Stegostoma tigrinum: one gene and its partner. The protein of the gene in region 1 binds, or shares a complex with, the protein of each later gene. Links are inferred from orthologs where the notes say so. Each region holds a gene or a part of one and is shown in the gene's direction. Other genes may lie near its edges.

Region 1 (10,393 bases):
ACATCTAAAGTTTAAAAAAAACTGCCAAGGTGTAAATTAAACAATCCACATTACAAAAATCAGGTTATGCAGAAACCTGCGGAAAAAAATTACTTTCTGTCAACAGCTATGTTGAATCTATTAAATTTAATTGATCCAAACTTGAATTTACCAATAATGTACTTGAAATACAAAATAGGGATGCAACTGCCAACAAACTCAACTTAAAGGGAATCCAACTGTTTAAGTACTTTCAGAACTGAGTTGATAGATCAAACAAAGTTGACAGAGTCACATTCACAACATTAAACCAACTCACATTAAAGTTCATTACCATCTGCCTTTGTCAAAATAATCTCCAGCAAATCGTTATGTGACTGTGCTTGCAAAAAGGCAGCCTGGAAAATCAAAACAAAAATATCAACTTTACTACTGAGTCACCAGATTAGCTGGGAAACAGCTGCATTTTAAACATGTTTTCCACAGTGAAGAAGGCACCAAACTTCAGAAATAACAGGAAAATGGTATATGAAGCACGACAAAACATAACAGTACCATTAATACAATTGAATAGTTTACATTTTAATCAAAAACAATAAAGTGATGGCGATCTCATGAAACAAGATGCAACCAATTCACTCAACTGCAATGCGATCCCATCATACCACATAAGTTTAGAGAAAGAAAACGCGTTTCGGGATGTTGCAGAGTTGTTGTAGTACAACAGAAGATTTTCAGACGTTCTTCGCCGACTGGGACAGTAAAATAAAATCAACAACGACGAAATTTCAAAACAACACCAGCGGAGCCCTGCATTCACTGAGCCTGACCTGCACCAACCGCCTCCTCCCTCAAAAAACCTTCATTACCTACACTCGCTGTCCCTGAATACCAATACTGAATTTGCCAGGCTCCCATATCTGGACAGAGTCACCTCTGGCTCATGGAGTCGCTAATTTGAGGGGGGAAATGATCAGCATCCTCAGCAAAGGCCAAACCAATGAAGCAGCAGGGCCACCCTGCGGCACCACCAAATGCTGGAACTTTCCACCAGCCTCATGGAACGGCGCCACACTTCAGAGAGGCCCCGAAGCGGACCGGGCTCCGATCACTCGTTCTTACAAACACAGACAACGTGGGTTATTTTACTTCAGAAAAGATAATTTTAAAAAGTGTAAGTTAACCTGGCTTGTGGCACCACGCTCCAACAGGCGGCCGGCGAGAAAGCTCAGCGCTACATACGTTACCAGCAGCCCGCAACCACCACCATATCTCCATAACCACCAGCATCAACAGTTAACACTGCGCAGGCGCCGACTCACCCTCCCACCGCCCTCTGGGAGTTGTAGTCTCCGCATGGCGGCCTTGGCGTGCGCGCACGTCCATTGAAACAGCAGTTGCTGGAAAACCTCTGTCAACTCTGAGATTACAAGGTGTGGAGCTGGATGAAGACAGTAGTCCCGGCAGCATCAGAGGAGGAGGAAATCTGACGTTTCGGGTCTGGACTCTTCTTCAGAAATGGTGAAGAAGGGACCCTTTCTGAAGAATGGTCTAGGCCCAAAACTTCAGCCTTCCTGCTCCTCTGTTGCTGCTTGGCCTGCTGTGTTCGTCCAGCTCTACACCTTGTTATATCAGATTCTCCAGCACCTGCAGTTCCTACTATCTCTCTGTAAACTCTGATTTTTTTTTCTTCACCGATGCTGCCAGATCTGCTGAGCTTTTCCAGCAACATCCGTTTTTATTCCTGATTGACAGCATCCGTAGTTTTTTTTTGCGGTTTCCATTGATGCAGGCATGGTCAAGTCATCTCCTTCAATAAAGATCAGACAGTCTGGCAGCGTCTGGGGAGACAGGAAAACATAGAGTCCTAAATACCCTTTCATACTGATCAGGAATCTCTCTCTTGTTCGCATGCTGGAGGGTCATACAAGTAGATACAGAACAACAAAAACAGGAGTTGCTGGAAAAGCTCATCAGGCCTGGCAGCATCTGTGAAGAAAAAAATCGGAGTTAACTTTTCAGGTCCGGTGACCTTTCCTCTCTCAAGCATTTGAGAAAGAAAGTTCTAAGACAATTTATTCTGATGGGGTAATCATGCCATCACATACCCCAGTTCTGATGAAGGATCCCAAACTGAAACGTCAACTTTCCTGCTCCTATGATGCTGCCTGACCTGCTGGGATCCTCCAGTTCCACACTGTGTTGACTCTGACTCCAGCACCTGCAGTTCTTGCTATCACTGTTTAGCCTAGCTATGAACACTTTCCCTGGTGATCAGCTTTTGGCTCAAAGGACACTGCCAACTGCGCCACAGGATTGCATTTATTCAACATCTTTCCCAACAAGGGAATAGATTTGCATTTATTCAGCACCATTCCCAACCAGTGGCCAGCATAATCAATGAAGCACCTCGTGATGGAATACTGCCCACTCGCCTGGATGGGTGCCGCTCCAACAGTACTCAAGAAGCTTGACACCATCTAGAACAAAGCAGTTTATTTGATTGGGACCACAGCCACAAGCATCCATTCCCTCCACCATCGATGTTCAGTAGCAGCAGTGTGTACCATCTACAAGATGCACTGCAGAAATTCACCTACTCAGACAGCACTTCCAAACGCATGACCACTTCTTTCAAGAAGGACAAGCAGAGCAGGTACATGGAAAAAACACCTGCACCATCCTGATTTGGAAATATATAACCATTCCTTCAGCATTGTTGGGTCAAAATCCTGGAATTCCCTCCCGAACAACATTGTGGATCTACCTACCGCACATGGGTTCAAGAAAGCAGCTCACCACCGCATTCTCAAGAGCATATAGGAATAGAAATAGACAGTTGGGTACATCTATGAGATATTTAAAGTGATAAAAGCATTTGATAGAGAAAGTTCCAAGACAACTTCTTCTGATGGAGTAATCATTGCATCACACACATACAAATTAGGAGAACGAGCAGGCCATTCAGCCTTTTAATCCTGCATTTATATTTGAACAGATCATGGATGACCTGATTGTGGCCTCAATTTGACATTCCTGTTTACCAACATCCCTCCCAAATCTTTGGCTCCCTTATGACTATCAAGGATAATCAGCAGATCTGGCAGAAAAAGCAGAATCATGTTGAAACAGTGAATCTGCTTTCTCTCCACAGACACTGTCAGGCCTGCTGGGTTTCTCCAGAAATTTTTGTTTTAGTTTCAGATTTCCAGCATCTGCAATTCTTTGCTTCTTGTCGAGGATATCAACACGGCTTTATCAGGGGAGTGATACTTCTAAAAAATTTGATGGATCTTTTTGAGAAGATGACTAGGTGTGCAAAGGTGCAGCAATGTTGTCAACATGGACTTCACTAAGGCATTTGACAGGGTCTTGCATGGCAGACTGGTTAAGAAGCTAAGAGTCCAAGGATTCAGGGCAATTGGCAAATTGGATCCAAAATTAGCTGGTGGCACGAAGCAGGCTCGGTGTTGACTCCCTTGTTGTTTGTAGTGTAGCCTACATTCATGATGAATGTAGGAGGTATAATTAGTAAGGTAGCAGGTGACATGAAAGTAGTGAAAACAGAAGCCTTACAATAAAGGGCTATATAGTCTTATGGACTACACCAGGCTCCCTCAGCCTAGACCTAAGGCTTTACGTATTTTAAGCGCAAATGTAAAGTTCTGTGTTTCAGATGCAATCTAACTGGTCAAACTACTCAGCATTAAGCAAAACACAATGTTGTCAAATACTATGGTTAAAATATGAACGAGAAAGAACTGAGAATAATTTAAGTATATTGGAAAACTTAACAGAACATTAGGTAGACTAAATATGACTAATTAACTGTTCAAATATAGTAACATTCCATAAACACACCCCTTGGCAAAAATGTAAATTTAGAAATCAGATTTTCTCACAATCATTGCCTGCAATAGAAGAGTAATTCCTGCTTTTAGCTGAAACAGAGAGGGGATAAAAAGCTTCTACTTCTTCAAGATTCCAGCAATTTCTGCTGAATCTAAAAGCTAAAATAAAACAGAAATCCTGGTCTGTGAGGGATAGCAGAAACTGCAGATGCTGGAGAATTTGAGATAACAAGTTGTAGAGCTGGATCAACATAGCAGGCCAAGCAGCATCAGAGGAGCAGGAAGGCTGACGTTTCTGGCCTAGATCCTTCTTCAGAAATGGGGGAGGAGAAGGAGGTTCTGAAATAAATAGGGAGAGAGGGGGAGGCAGATAGAAGATGAATAGAGGAGAAGATAGGTGGAGAGGAGACAGACAGGTCAAAGAGGCAGGGAAGGAGCCAGTAAAGGTAAGTGTAGGTGGGGAGTTAGGGAGGAGATAGGTCAGTCCGGGGAGGATAGACAGGTCACGAGGCGGGATGAGGTTAGTAGCTAGGAGATGGGGATGGGGCTTGAGGTGGGAGAAGGGGGTAGGTGAGAGGAAGAACAGGTTAGGGAGGCGGGGATGAGCTGGTCTGGTTTTGGGATGCAGTGGGGGAGGGGAGATTTTGAAGCTTGTGAAGTCCACATTGATACCATTGGGCTGCAGAATTCCCAAGCGGAATATGAGGTGCTGTTCTTGCAACCTTTGGCTAGCATCGTTATGGCACTGCAGGAGGCCCAGGATGGACATGTCCTTTGAGGAATGGGAAGGGGAGTTGAAATGGTTTGCGACTGGGAGGTGCTGTTGTTTAGTGCAAAGTTGTTTAGTTCTGCAAAGCGGTCTCCAAGCCGTTTCCCCAATATGTTGGAGGCCACAACAGGAATAGCGGACGCAGTATACCACATTAGCAAATGTGCAGGTGAACATCTGCTTGATGTGGAAAGTCTTCTTGAGCCTGGGATGGGGATGAGGGGGGAGGTGTGGGTGCAGGTGTAGCGATCCCTGCAGTTGCAGGGGAAAGTGCCGGGTGTGGTGGGGCAGTAAGGGATTGTGGAGCGGACAAGGGAGTCACGGAGTGAGTGGTCCCTCCAGAAAGCAGATAAGTGTGGGGAGGGGAAAAATGTCTTTGGTGGTGGGGTCGGATTGCAGTGTTGGAGGATGATGTGTTGGATCCGGAGGTTGGTGGAGTGGTATGTGATGGTGACGGGGATTCTGTTTTGGTTGTTATTGCAGGGAGTGGTTGTGAGGGATGAGTTGTGGGAAATGCTCCCCACCTACACTCACCTTTACTGGCTCCATCCCCACCTCTTTGACTTGTCTGTGTCCTCTCCACCTATCTTCTTTTCTATCCATCTTCTATCTACCGCCCCCTCTCGCCCTATTTATTTCAGAACCTCCTTCTCCTCCCCCGTTTCTGAAGAAGGGTCTAGGCCAGACATGTCTGCCTTCCTGCTCCTCTGCCTGCTGTGTTCATCCAGCTCTATACCTTGTTATCTCCTGGTCTGTGAAGCTGGCCACACCCAACCAGGCTATTTCTGTTGTTCCAAATTAAACAAAAACCAAGGCTTTACAAACTAATTACGTTACCACAGACCGCTCCATATCTCTTGTTCAATCTCTGTCTTAAAAAATACCAGAACAAAATACACCTCTTAAAGCTGCATCATCACAATAGAGTTCAGATGAGCTGAACAGTGACAAATGGAATTTAATCCTTAACAGTGTAACATTTGAACAGGAATGCTAACTATACACGTTTTTACTCACCATTTACACAAATTTATTAAAATGTAAAAAATTTAAAAAGAACTTTGAAACAGCTCCTAAAAGGATTGTTTTATGGACTACATTAGTGCAATGCAGAATTGCAAGTTTCCTCTCCTTTGTTATTGTAATTGTCAACCCTGCTTCCACTCTGATCTGTTTATCCTTGGCCAGCCACAATCCCAATGAAAATCAGCTGGAAGAGCTGAACCTTATCTGCAACTCGGCAAATTCGACATTAGATTCAACGGTTTTACATCTCCTGACTCTATTTTCAACTTTCTTCCCCCATTGATTCAATTTTCTTGCATTTCTTTACGTTTTTTTTCTTTTACTTTGCACTCAGAAAAGCAGCCCTGTAGCCAGTCACTCTTCATCAGACCACATTTTTGATTCTTAATCAATTCTTACAAAGCCTTTCGTCATTTAAGGTCTCCCGCCCGATACCAGATCACAAGCCTACTCTTTTATACTTCCCACACCCCACATTTCTATCGTTCCTCAGGTCATAATCGACTTGAAACTAACATTATTTTCCGCACAAAATGTTGCCCAAATGACGAAGTACTCTTAACATTTTCTAATGTTATTCTGTTACAAGTCTTCCAAAACTATTTTCAACCCAGGTAACTGCATAGAGGAAAGAAACAATCAGCAGAGGCTTTGCTGTATTCAGTGATCTCTGTCTGTGTATTTGATAGTTAACAATAACCCGAGCAGGGTATTCAGGAACTTCCGGTCCCTCATTCCGGCGTTGGTTCAACTCCGGGGCGGAGAGTGCATGCGCACTTGCGATTCCTTGAAAAAGTTCATCGTTTTAACATGGGGACTAAATTCAAAGTGAGGAGTTTGAAGACTGACAGAATGTATGGAATCGTAGCCAGAGATCTGCGAGATCTAATGACAAAGGGATGCCAGAAACTGCAGGTAAAATTGATTAGATTGTGTAAAATACGTATAAATTAATTTCATGAAAGCAAGTGCCCCACAATGAACAGAGAGGCCGGAAATCTGAAGAGACATTTAATGACTTAATTACGGTGGATGTTTAAAAGCACTTCCGTGAATTTTTCTGTAGAGAGAGCTCGCCGATGTTTGCAATTTCCCTGCAGCAGAATTGAAAACGTTCACCATATTTATTAATCCAGGGTTCTCTTGTCTGCTATATAATAAAATGTGAGGCTGGATGAACACAGCAGGCCAAGCAGCATCCCAGGAGCACAATGCTGCTTGGCCTGCTGTGTTCATCCAGCCTCACATTTTATTATCTTGGAATCTCCAGCATCTGCAGTTCCCATTATCTCTTCTCTTGTCTGCGAGTGGCTGAACGGTAGGGGTGCCATATACTGCTTGATCGGAGTGCAGAGTCACATCAGTCTCACCCAATTCAGGTCAAAGGGGACCGATATCTCATGCTACTTTTGAGAATCAAGCCCTGTCGTTTCAGTGCTGTAAATTGTTTTCCCCGAAAACGAATGTTGAATGTAACTTTTGATTCGTGCTTTCCATGTCCATTTAATGGAAGTCTGTCGCCCTTAAATACCTAAATTTAAATAATCAGAAATTAGAAAGCAGATCATGAATGAAATGATAGAATTCCAGAGAGTTGAATACAAAACCCCAAGTGGCACATCAACCTTAAGAGCATGTTGCCCCCTTTACTTTGAATTAATTTGCTGAGATTTGATTTTATTTATTATTGTCACATGTACCTAAGTATTGTGAAAAATTTTGTTTTGTGTGCAGTTCGGGCAGATCATACCTTACAGAGGTAGAATAGAGCGAGAAATACAAAGTTACAGATGTAGAGAAGGTGCACAAAAACCAAGACCAACGTTGGATTTCAATTTTGAGAGGTCCGTTCAGGAGTCTAATAACAGTGGGGAAGAAGCTGTTCTTGAGCATGTTGGTACGTGTGTTTAAGCTTTTGTTATCTTCTGCCCAACAGAAGAGGTTGGAAGAGATTATAGCCAGGTTGGGAGCAGTCTTTGGTGATGTTGGCTGCCTTCCTGAGGCAGCAAGAAGTGTAGATGGAGTCAATGGATTAAAGGCTGGAGTGATGGATTGGGCTGTGTTCACAACTTTATGTAGTTTCTAACAGCCCTGGACAAAACAGCTGCCGTACCAAGCCTTGATACATCCAGATAGAAAACTTTCAATGGTGCTTCTGTAAAAGTTGGTGAGAGTCTTTATGGACATGCTGAAATTCCTTCGCCTCCTGAGGAACAAGAAGCATTGTTATGCTTTCTTGACTATTGCGTCAGTGTGGGTGGACCAGGACAGATTGTTGGTGGTCATCACTCATAGGAACTTGAGCGCACTCGACCATCTCTAACTCAGCTGTATTACTGTAGATAGGGGCGTGAGCTGCTCCTTGCTTCCTGAAGTCAATGATCAGCTCTTTTGCTTTGTTAACATTAAGGGAGAGATTGTTATCTTAAGCTAGACCAACAAGCACTCTATTTCTTCCCTATAAACTGAGGCCTGAATTTTACAATATGATTTTTAGAAAGAGAAGCGGGGAGGGGGAACGAGAGGTCTCCCCTGTGTCCTGGCCAATATTTACTCTCCAGTTGTCACCACAACACCATTATCTGGTCATTATTTTAGTATTTGTGGGATCCTTCAGTCTATAAATTAGCTGTGGTGTTTTCCTGCAACAATGGCACCATTTATGGAAAGTCGTTTAGTACCTAGATGTTGTACATAGGAATCTTTGGTTAAACATTGATATGGCCACTTAACAAATCAAAAAGTGAATTTACTCATGATGGCTGTAGGGAAATTTGCCATTCTCGGGTGGGCATTCAACCAGCACTGAAAAGAGAGACCTTGAAACTGAGTAGAATATTTCGATTGTGATAAATGATATCCACTTCAATGTGATACATTGTGACAGATCACAGAAATACTTAAGGTATTTAATGTTGACTAATTGAGACGTAGTTTCACTCCTCATAAAATTGTACATTGCACCCTTGTATTTAATTCTCACATAAAATTTGCAAATTCAGAGGAAATTCAAATATTCAGCACCAGCAGTAAGATTTTAAACTGTCAGGAACAAACCTTGAGTTTGAAGATTTGTCATTGGTGTTCCAAGAGTCAGCCATCTGCTTTAGGGACATGTTGGCAATGATGAATTCGAGACTGCCTAACTGGAAGTGCTTGGTATGACTTGGTCTGTTGTTGGAGAAACTTGTGCATAGAGTATTCAACTTTGAAATACAGCACTAATGACATACCAATAAAATGTGAAGCATTTCAAATCTAATGAAGCATATTATACCTGTGTGGACTTTTCGTTCTATTTTCTGTTGTATAACACAATGTTACTGGTATAACTAGTTAGAGGCAAAGACACATAGATGACACCACCTCATAAAACACTGTCTCATTTGCACCTATGCCAATGTTCATGTTACAGATGCCAGGAATTCTTTGGTGAACTGTTTGGAGTAATATTGCCAGTGTAATGGCAATTTGAGACAAGTCATGGGCAGCATTTGCTCAGACTCATTGGAAACTGAGTCTTCTCAGATGAAGGTTACCAATGGCTTGAAGTTATTCTATTGTATAGTTCATATTTCGAGACAAGCCTCTTGAGTTAAAAGGACCACTATCATTCCTTTAAAAGTAGCAACAAAATGATTAAAAGGTAAAGTTGCTGTCATCTTACCTTCCATATAGCTGCTCTCTTATTCGATAGAGAGAAACTACTGGTGGTAATTTAACCTGAGGGTCACTGCACCTCAGGCAAGAGGGGAGGCGAGGAAAGAGAACCCTTCATAGGAACCTCACCTGGTGCCGGACATAGAACATAGAACATTACAGCACAGTACAGGCCCTTCGGCCCTCTATGTTGTGCCGACCTGTCATACCGATCTCAAGTCCATCTAACATACGCTATTCCATGTACGTCCATATGCTTATCCAATGATGACTTAAATGTACCTAAAGTTGGCGAATCTACTACCGTTGCAGGCAAAGTGTTCCATTCCCTTACTACTCTCTGACTAAAGAAACTACCTCTGATATCAGGAATTGAATCTACACTGTTAACATCACTTTGTTTCACAAACCAGCCAATCAACCAACTGAACTAACCAACCCCCAGAAAATGATTCCAGGAAAACAGCAATAGTGTTTATTATACTTTATGATAATTGCTTGTTTTATCTTGATTAGATCCCACGTAAAGGATGTCGCATATGTTTACATAAAGATGGCACAGAAGTCCACGCTGACAATTTCTCATGTCTAGAAGATAACTGTAAGCTCATTATTCTGGAGCAGGGACAGCAGTGGGATGGAAGTAAGTACAGATTCCCAGGTTGACTAGGGCAGGCTTTGTGAGGAGTGGGAACAGATTTTTTTGGAAACATGGGAATCCTGGTTTCTCATTGATTTTTTTCAAGTCGTTTCCTCCTCTGGAAGTCAGCCTGATTGATAGGCTTGAGACTGTTTGGAGAGGGATACAACTGCTTCCATACAGTCATAAGGGCAGAGAAGAAGGTCATTTAGCCCACCAAGTCCACAACAGCTCTCTGTAGAGCAGTTTGATATGTATTATTCCGTTACGCTCTCTCTGTAGTCTGCAGTTGTATTTCCATTAAGTGCCCATCCAGTTTTGTTTCAGAATCATTTCTCCCCATGCTCATAGGCAGTGAGTTCCAGGTTATTAATTGCATGTCAGGTAATTTCACTTATAAAAAGCGTTAAATCTGTGTAAACTCATCTTTGAACCATCTAAATTGGCGCATTTTCTGGGAGATTTGTC
Region 2 (10,092 bases), about 29 Mb from region 1:
AATTTTGTTTTAAAGAAATCAGTCTCTGGGGGATTGTACCACTTTGAAGCATTTTCTTTGTACAATGGAATGGATACTTCAAAAATCTTTTGTGGTTCTTTGATTAGACCACTTTTTTTTAAGATTGCACAGAACAAAGGCATTGGTAGCTGTTATGCCAGGGAATGATTAAGCGATAATTAAGCTAAAACACAAGTCTCAATCTTTCATAACAAGGTGTAGAGCTGGATGAACACAGCAGACCAAGCAGCAGAGTAGCAGGAAAGCTGACGTTTGGGTCTGGACCCTTCTTCAGGAATGATCCAGACCCGAAATGTCAGCTTTCTAGTTCCTCAAAGCTGCTTGGACCGCTGCGTTCATCCAGCTCTATACCTTGCTATCTCAGATTCTCCAGCATCTACAGTTTGTAATATCTCCCTTTTAATCTGTCATGACAGGAGTAGGGGCGCCCTCTAACAATTCCTCCTGAAATACTGAGAGAAGCTTGTCTAATCTATTAAAAGAGGGGTTAAAAGAAAGAAAATCCCTGATCTCCACTTTACAAGTAACAAGAAACAATTTATTTATTTAACACAATGAACAAATTAACAAAATTACTAACAACAGACAATTTGTCCTTAAGTCTACTAACTACTTCCTAACTGGTCTAAATTCTACTGGAATGCTGTTTAAATAAAGACAAGTCCCACCAAGATAAACCCAATTAATAATAAACAATAAATTAAAACGTAGTCTCTCCAAGCTCACAGACTGTCTTCCGGAATATTCTGTCATCTCCAGGCTCTTCACAAACACCTTTCTTCCATTAATTCTGCAGTCAGGGATATTTTCTCTCTATAATTTCTTCAGTGAAGACTTTGAGCTAAAATACCATGGCACCTTTGATTAGTTAGATGGGCTTTCTGAGAACTGTATCGTACGAACTCTGGCAGGTGGTGGATGGCTGTCTCTTTCAGGTGGCAGTTGGCTCTCAGACTTTCCAAATGCCCTTGTCTTACACACCCCCAATGACATAATCCAGTTCTTATGATTGATTTCAGGTTGTGAACACCAGATTTAAACTCAACCGGCTTTCTGTATCTAGATGCTTCATTTAAATTAATTGGCAAAATTCAAACTTGTTGTCTCGGAAAAAAATGCTGCACGGCCGTTCTATACGAAATGTTTCCATGTGGGCACTCTCTATGCACCTGCATTTATAAGCTTCCAAGCACGGACAAAGCACAAGTTCTTAAAGGGACCACAGCACTTTTTCCCCACGATTATTTTTATCCACAAATACTAACTCCCTGCCTTCCAATCCATGAATGCTCCACCCAAATTTGTAACAGTGGCAAGGCCATTTGTTGCCCATTCTTAATTAGCCCTTGAACTGTTTGGTTTGCTATGGTCTTTTCAAAAGATAGTTAAGAGGCAACCACAGTGCCATGGGTCTGGAGCCACATGCAGTGTAGATGGGGTGAGAGCAGCGGATTTCTTTCCCTGATGATCATTAGTGAACCAGATTGGTTTTTACAATAATGATGATTATGTAACCATTATCAATTAGAGTCTTCATTTCAGATTTTATTCAACCCAAATTTCACTATCTGTCTTGGTACAATTTGAACCATATCACCAGAACTTCAGCCTGGAGTAGCAGATTACTAATCCAGTGCCATACAGCCTCCCCTAAATCCTGGTTTCCTTATTTGAAAGAAATACATGGAGAAGATACAAAGAGGTACCACAAGGCTGATACTAGAACATTGGTTTAAATGTAATCAGAAAAGATTGAACAGATGGGGACTTTCCACTCAAAGAGACGACGGAGGGGTGATCGGATAGGGACCCATGGCGCAGCAGCGATCTGGTAGATTACATGATGATTCCACATGCAGGAAGACAGATAAATCAGAACCATAAATATGATAAATAAAAACCTAATATGTAATCTAGCAGGAGCTTCTTTATCCAGGGTAGTGAGAATGTGGTACTCACACACGTTGGGTGAAACTGAAAATGGTGTACATTCCATACATCAGATAATGCAAATTGTTTTAAGGGCTTCATCTGTCTCCAAATAGATTCACATTGTGCTGTGTCAAGGAGACCTTAATATACAACTGGCTGCAGTAGAAATCATAGGAACATGCTCACACTGTGCTGTGGGAAGATAACTTTAAACATCCTCTCATCTCCTGTAACAAATTAGGTTGAGGTACTCTGACAGACCTTTACACATGCTGATTTCCTAAAGATTATTCATATGGAATTACCTTTTGGAGGTCCACTTTGAATGTTTATATACAGCCCTAAATTTCATCCTAACTTTATAATGCCCTTTATTGTGCATGTTATATACAAAAAGATATTAGAACAAATACGACTGCCTTAAAATAGATTATTTATTCAGTGACTGATCTAAATCCAGGCTAATAATACATTGCTTAAAATAGAGACAGGATGGTCCCTGCAGCTCAGATTTTCTGGGCCAAGGCACATTAGGCAGAAACACCCTGCTGTAGGAAGGATGTTATTTAACTGGAAAGATGCAAAAAAGATTTACAAGGATGTTACGGAATTTGAATGGTTTGAGTTATAAGGAGAGGCTGAATAAGCTAGGACTATTTTCCCTTGAAGCATAGGAGGCTGAGGGGTGACCTTATGGAAATTTATAAAATCATGAGCAGCACAGATAAGGAGAATAGCCAAGGTCTTTTCTCAAGGATAGGAGAGTCCAAAACCAGACGGCATAGATTTAAAGTGAGAAGGGAAAGATTTAAAAAGGTACCTAAGGGGCAACATTTTCCACACAGAGGATCGTGTGTGTGTGTGTGTGTATATACAACAAGCTGCCAGAAGAAATGATAGATGCAGGTACAATTACAACATCTAAGGGAGTTTTGGACAGGTACATGATAGGAAAGGTTTAGAGGAATATGGGCCAAATCGGATGAGTTCAGTTTTGGAAACCTGATTGGTGCGAACAAATTCAGCCAAAGGGCCTTTTTCTGTTCTGTATGATTCCAAGGCTGCTGTAAACAAAACAGAGGCAAACCCTGAAGTATCATCACAGGGCATGCCAAAAATTGCCAAAACAAAAACAAACAAACAAACAATCAAATTGTACCTAAGACTTGGTTGAGTGAAGTCCACACTCAGCCTAAAACTCCAGAATAAAAAAGGAATATGAAATACCACAAAGAAAGCAACATAGGAAGCCAATCAGATCTTAAAATTCAAGTTTCAGAATTAAATTCCATTCTGGTGACAATTGGCCACCAATTGAACAGCAAAATTCATTGAGAAATATAATTTTTTGAAACAACTTTATGAACTGAATAATTGCTTGGTAATACAAATCTTGAATCTTGCAGAAGAGACATCTTTCCAAAGTCGGGGATAGTAAGAACTGCTGATGTTGGAGTCTGAGATAACACAGTGTGGAGCTGGAGGAACACAGCGGGCCAGGCAGCAGAGGAGCAGGAAAGTTGACACTTCGGGTAGGGACGGGTCCACACCGTGTTAGCTCTTTCCAAAGTCTGATGTCTTGTCCTCTTCAGGATAAATGCAAAAATGCCAAATTTTAAACCATCAGAACTATTTATACCCAAAACTTTCCCAAATATGAATTTCTCCTCCCCAAAGAAACCTACAAAAAGTATCCAAATAATTCCACTTTGTTTGCAACACAAAAATAGGAATTTCTCATATGCAAAATACTAGAGATTCTGGAGATCTGAAGTAAAGTGCTGGAGAAATTGAGGGTCTGTCAGCATCTGTGGATAGAGAAACAGAGCTAATGTTAAGAATTATACTGGACTCAGTTTCTCTCTCCACAGATGCTGCCAGACCCTCCGAGTTTCTCCTGTACTGTTTCACATGATTACTTTCTAAAAAAATGACTGCTTGGAGCATACAAAAATATCTGGGATGGATTTAGAAGCAAATTTGATCAAAGAATCGAAGTTAACTTGCGAAACCGGAAACTGTGAACTGGAGAAAATAAATTATGTGACCTTGGGGAAAAACACACTTACGGTCTGACACACACAGCCATGCTGGCTTGGTGCAAAAATAACAGAAGAAGGAGTCCCACATTCCCCACCTTTACCTTGTAAACCTGCACATACACTCTGGAAATGAAAAAAGAAAACATTAGGAATGCTAAGCAGGTCGAGCAGCATCTGTGGTTGAAAACCAAAGAGAACTGTGGTTGCTGTGAATCAGAAATTGCTGGAAAAGCTCTGAAGGTCTGGCAGCATCTGTGGAGAGAAATCAGAGTTAACATTTTGGGTTGAGTGCTCCTTCGTCCAGTCACCTGACCTGAAACGTTAACTCTGATTTTTCTCCACAGATGCTGCCAGACCAGCTGAGCTTTTCCAGCAATTTCAGTGTTAGCATCTGTTGTTAACTTGGATTCTACATCCACTCAGTTCAACAACCTTACACCACAACCAGATTAGAAGTTGAAGTTGAGAGCTTGGTCAGTAACTATCTAACCTTCTGAATATCCCCAGAATCTTCCCGTTTTACCTAAGTTCCCCAACATTGTTTACTTAGTTACAAGAACAAAAGCATTTTTGGTCAATAGTGCTGTTTAGTTTGGATAGATACTATCGGCACTCAACAACACATGGCCACACCCAGACCGAGACAGCGGAAATGCAAAATGAAAAATAAATAAACTGAAAAACAGTATTATTGGCATATAAGTAAATGCATAATTATCAGCATAGCTAACAGCTAAAAACTGAAACATCAAGAAAAGGGCATTAGAAACAAGATCAGAGGCTGACCACAAGCTCTCAAAAAAACTGAGCATTGAATGGAATCTCAGGTTTATCCAGTGTATTTTTTCCAAATAACCTCATATCTAATAAACACACTCATATACCTTGTATTCCTCTAAAAGCAGTGAGACGGAGACGAAGTGAAGCATAATAAGTACTTCATAGACAAAAAATTACCAAACACATAAATACGATTGCCCCTTTTTAATGCACTGGACTTCACTCTGATCTGACAGTACTTCTACAAGGGAAAAGCGATTATAGTATCTGGGTTACTGACGTTTCTGAAAGCGAACAAAAATAAACCAGTGATTTGGATCAAATTCCCAAATGGTAATGGAGGAAAGGAAGGACATGCAGGCAAAGGAGTGTCAGCGAAGAACAGAAGGCAAGGGGAAGAAGGGGAGAAGGCAACAGAGTAGGGGAAAGGAGGGGTGGGCAGAGGGGCAGAGCAAGAGATGGGAGGAAAGGCAATGAACAGAAGAGACAGCACGTATGTTGGGGAAAGTGCAAGCGAGGATGCGTGGAGGGATGAGGGGGGAAGACAACATGAAAGGGGATGAAGCAAGAAGGGAGATATCATGCGAGGGCATGTTAGGAGAGGCGCAGGATGGGGGGGGGGGTCGGTTGAGCGTCAGCCGTGTGGGGGGGCAGCTGACGGTGAACTGGGGGCGGGGGTAGAAGGCGGGTTAAGGTTGAGAGAGAAGGTAATGTGAGGGTGAGAGGTGGTGATGGTGGTGGGGGAACAAGAGATTGATTTGGGGGGAAAGGGAAAGGGGGTATGAGGCAGGCAAAGGAAATGTATGGGTGAGTGAGGTTGGAGGAGAGCTGTGAAGGAGGTGAGTGGGGAAGGGAGAGGTGTACAGGACGTCGGGGGAGGGGGGGATGTGAGCGGAAGGGATGTAGGGGATAAAGTAATGGGATAGCGATTGAGGTGGGAATGGAGGGGAGGTAAGTTTGAGGGAAGGTGGGAGATGTGTATGGGCCACCCCGGGGTTTCTTACCTGTCGCGGCTCCGCCTGCTCAAAGGACGCCATCTTTATGGACCAGAGCAACCGATCATAGCACGGTCGCTCTCCTGTGCCCGAGGCGACAATATCGATCGCAGAACCCCTCAATCACCAACGACAAGGACAAAAACATCACCTTTTCTGGTAAAATGAATTCAAGTAGAGATTTATAAAATCCTAACCTGATGTAAAATTGTGGATTATATTCAGAACATACAGAAAATTAACGGACCGTTGGGGCCGAAGCATTATGGGAGTTGTAGTTTTTATTCTGGGTTGGCATGATCACACTCAGGCCGTCGCTTTATTTTTTTCTCACAGTGGACCTTTTAAATGTTTTTTTAAGCTTCCGACAATCCACAGCCATGGCTATAATCATTTTTCTCCCTCGTTAATTCAGACGGGGAAAAAAAATTGTCGGTTTGGAGCGCATGCGCAATAACAGCCAGCCACCACTACTACAACAACAACTGGGAGGGACGGTGCAGAACATCTGTGGGGAGAGGGAATTGTATATTTACATTACTTTGCGGCATCAGCTCTCTGTCCTAGTGTCCCTTGTTGCCATTAGCGGACTCTCGAAGTTCAGTTACTGTGGGAAACGCAGGGACCTGGTTGTGCACAGCAAGATCCCACAACAGTAAGGTGAAGAGCTACCAGATAATCTGCTTATAAGTGTTTGGGGGGGCGCTCCTCACCCATTAGTCTTAAGGTATCTAGACCATTCGCCTTCGAAAGCAAACCAGGTCTCTCTCTGCCTCACTCCTGGAGAGGGCAGGGGGTGTTCAGCCATGGATCAAGAAAGAAGATTTCCCTGCAAAATCTGTGGCTCTAGCCGTCTTCAAACGTTCGGCGTCGTCGTGAAGTCTTTGGAAGATCTGGTAGCCAAAGGTAACCATTCAGAAGCCCTTGTCACCTTGGTACACAAGCGAAGCCAGAAAGACTGTCATTGTTTGGTATGCTGGCTCCCTGGCCCCATCCCATTTTTAAACTTCCATCGGATGGGGAGGTGGGCCACGGGCAACAGGGCATATGTAGCAGGTCTGACACCTTAATAACAGTCATATTAAGTCAATCCAGGAGGCTCTTGTGGTGTAGTTGCAGTGTCCCCACCCCTGGGCCAGGATGCTGTGAGTTCAAATTCCACCTGCAAAAGCTTGTAATAACGTGTCTAAGATAACAAAGTGTGGGGCTAGAAGAACACAGCAGGCCAAGCAGCATCCCGCACACTTTGTTATCTTGGATCCTCCAGCGTCTGCAGTTCCCATTATCTCTAATAACATGTCTAAATAGGTTGATTAGAAAATACCTAAGCCTGATTAAATGAGGCCATTAAGATTTGTCTTGTATCAGAGATAGTAGGAACTGCAGATGCTTGAGAATCCAAGATAACAAAGTGTGGAGCTGGATGAACACAGCAGGCCAAGCAGCATCTCAGCAGCACAAAAAGCAGAGAGGCTCTCTGATGAAGGGTCTAGGCCCGAAACGTCAGCTTTTGCGCTGCAGAGATGCTGCTTGGCTTGCTGTGTTCATCCAGCTCCACGCTTTGTTATCTTGGATTCTCCAGCATCTGCAGTTCCTACTATCTCTGATACAATTTTAACCCCACTGCAAAGCCTCTTCCAGGGATGCCTAACCTGAAGAAGTTACCCTCCTCCCTCCGGACCAACCTCAGGGAATCTCTCTCCCACTGCACCATCTTCGGTCCGCCTCCCCCTCTCTCCCTATTAATCCAGTTCCCTCTCCCCATCCCCCTCTCTGATGAAGGGTCTAGGCCCAAAACGTCAGCTTTTGTGCACCTGAGATGCTGCTTGGCCTGCTGTGTTCATCCAGCTTCACACCTTGTTATCTAAGATTTGTCTTGTGCTGTTCCACTTTCAAAATCCATTTTTAAGTTTAGTGCCTAAAAAATTAGGATAGAGTGAGTCTGTGTTGAAGTGTGCATTCTTATCCTGTTTCATTGTTCCTGTCAAACTCAAAGACTTGCTTCTAGCTTTGGAGTCCACCAAGCAAGTTAACTGAGTGCCCATGAAGGTTGCAAAGAGTGTTCTGAAGAAGTCATTCCGGTGCAAAATGTTAACTCTTGTTTCTTCACAGATGTTGCCAGATCTGCTGAGTTTCTCCAAATCCTTGGTGTGTTGCTTTGTTAGAAACAGTGTTAGTTTCTCAAGTTAGAAAACATCTATTATTACAGTTTTTTTTGTTACAGATCTGTACTTGTGATTTTAATTTACAGCCTCTTAGCTTTCTGTCTGACCTGTCCCAATAGATGGAGCTGGTTCACGGCATAAAGAGGCTTTTACCTTGGTTTGTAACTCATGGACTTTGAATCTAATAACCTTGGTTGTATAAATATTGAAAAAGATTTAAGTCACATGCAATTACCCACTCAAAGTAAATTTGGCTGGGTTATAAAGAGTTCTGATTGCCTTGACATGGATAGAATGATGCGTACAGAGTTTGCCTCTTCTACCCTAACTGTTTTTTTCATTGTACTGCAGCAGGATGTTGAAATGACCCATCTTGATGTATAACATGTACATATTTTTCCAGTGAGGCTCATTGTAAGCTTGAAGAATTGCACCCACTAAAAAAATGACTGCTTAGAGCATACAAAAATATTTGGGATGGATTTAGAAACAAATTTGATCAAAGAATCGAAGTTAACTTGCAAAACTGGAAACTGTGAACTGGAGAAAATTAATTATTTGACCCAGGGGCCCATGTATGAGAATCAAAAAGGTTCAGAGTTGGAGGAATTCAAGGGAGGGTAGCAAATTGAATCCAAAAGTGACCTTGTGTTGGAGGAAGCAAAGGGTGACGGTTGAAAGTATTTTTTGTGACTGGTGGAATTCCACAGGACTTAGTACTCATTCCCTTGCTTTTGGTAATTCATATCACTAATATAGACACCATTGAAGGAGGCATGATAAAGAAGTTTGCAGATAATACAAATGTTGGTCGTGTAGTTTGTGGTGAGGAGGAAAGTTTTAGACTGCAGGAAGCTAGAGATGATCTGGTTATTTGGGCAGAAAAGTGGAAAATGGAATTCAATCCATTGAAGTAGATAGTGCATTTTAGGAGGTGCAACAAGACAACGGTAATACACATTAAATATGAAGGTACTCAGTTATGTGGAAGAGCAGAGAGACTTTGGAGTGGATGTCAACAGATCCTTAAAAGCAGCAGGACAAGCTATAAAATGATTAAATAGAATATAATTATGGTTTCTTTTATTAGCCGAATCATAGAATATAACAGCAGGGAGACTATTCCAGCATTTTTTTACACTGCTGGTTAGAGGACCATTGTTACAAATGTGAGGCTGCATAAAATGATTATGTTTAGACTAACTCCTTTAATTAAAGATAAAATAAAATTGTGTCTGTTGATCTGCCCAGCAACAAGTCCAAGTGATCTGACTGCCTTGGGGACAGGTCCCTAACACCTGGAGACAAAGGATTACACAGCTGGCCTTAGTAATACCAGAAATACTGACTGAGACATCCTGGACAGAAAGGGAGATAAGGGAGCAGCAGCTGCTGTCAAAAGCAGAGGTAAAAGGCTGCTTTCTGTGAACCAGCAGGTGGATTTCTGCTGAGGACTCCTTCTCTGCTACAAGAGACAGAGTTGTGGAGATTTCTGGACAAAAATCCCATGTGTGACTAGAAAGAGTTGGGTTAGGGATTCTCAGAAGACAAGTGGAAATGACTTTCAACAGACACTACAAAACGGGAAAATGAGCTTTTTAGAAGTTGGCGGTACCTTTGGTCTGGTTGCTGTAAAGATGTCAGTTTTGCAGAGAAAGCACAGAGAACAACACAGCACAGGACTAGGCCTTTCAGCCCACCAAGACTGCACTGATTTCTACTTCTTACTTAGACCAACTACTTATCACCCATACTCAGTCACTATCTCTCTCTTCACCTCCTTTTCGTGTGTCTATCAAGATACACCTTAAATCTTGCTAACGTGCTTGCTTCCATTAGCTCCACTAAAAGCACATTTCAGACACCCAAAACCCTGTGTGTGAAAAATGTTCTACACACTTCTCCCCTAAAATTTCCCCCTCTCGCCTTGAACCCGTATTCTCTTGTAGTTGACCTTTCCACCTTGGGGGGAAAAGCCTCTGACTATCCATCCTATCTATGTCTCTCATAATTTTGTAGATCTCAATCAGACCACCCCTCAGCCTCCATCTTTCCAGTGAAAATAATCCAAGTTTATCCAACCTTTCCCCATACCTAAAACTCCCCAGACCAGGCAACATCCTGCTAATTCTTCTGTGCACCCTCTCCAAAGCATCC

What was found.
Region 2: the proteins of dffb (region 1) and dffa are in contact, whole or in part, in an NMR structure (PDB 1F2R), measured with the Mus musculus proteins. The link is inferred for Stegostoma tigrinum from reciprocal best matches to the Homo sapiens genes DFFB and DFFA. Residues at the interface, in NP_031885.3 of Mus musculus: Cys10, Lys12, Arg14, Ala19, Cys20, Lys21, Phe22, Gly23, Val24, Ala25, Ala26, Arg39; in NP_001020467.1 of Mus musculus: Asp66, Thr68, Ile69, Val70, Asp71, Asp72, Asp74, Tyr75, Trp94, Tyr96, Asp100.

The regions. Positions count from the first base shown.
Region 1 is NC_081381.1:42,891,494-42,901,886, reverse strand, and holds the start of dffb (DNA fragmentation factor subunit beta), read left to right. Parts: upstream 1-6,396; 5' UTR 6,397-6,435; coding exon 6,436-6,540; intron 6,541-9,801; coding exon 9,802-9,928; intron 9,929-10,393. UniProt on the Homo sapiens protein: Nuclease that induces DNA fragmentation and chromatin condensation during apoptosis. Degrades naked DNA and induces apoptotic morphology.
Region 2 is NC_081381.1:13,579,344-13,589,435, forward strand, and holds the start of dffa (DNA fragmentation factor subunit alpha), read left to right. Parts: upstream 1-5,713; 5' UTR 5,714-5,779; coding exon of another isoform or gene 5,780-5,812; 5' UTR 5,813-5,929; intron 5,930-5,962; exon of another isoform or gene 5,963-6,185; 5' UTR 6,186-6,576; coding exon 6,577-6,676; intron 6,677-10,092. Other genes in the region: peroxisomal membrane protein PEX14, read right to left, coding at 5,780-5,812. UniProt on the Homo sapiens protein: Inhibitor of the caspase-activated DNase (DFF40).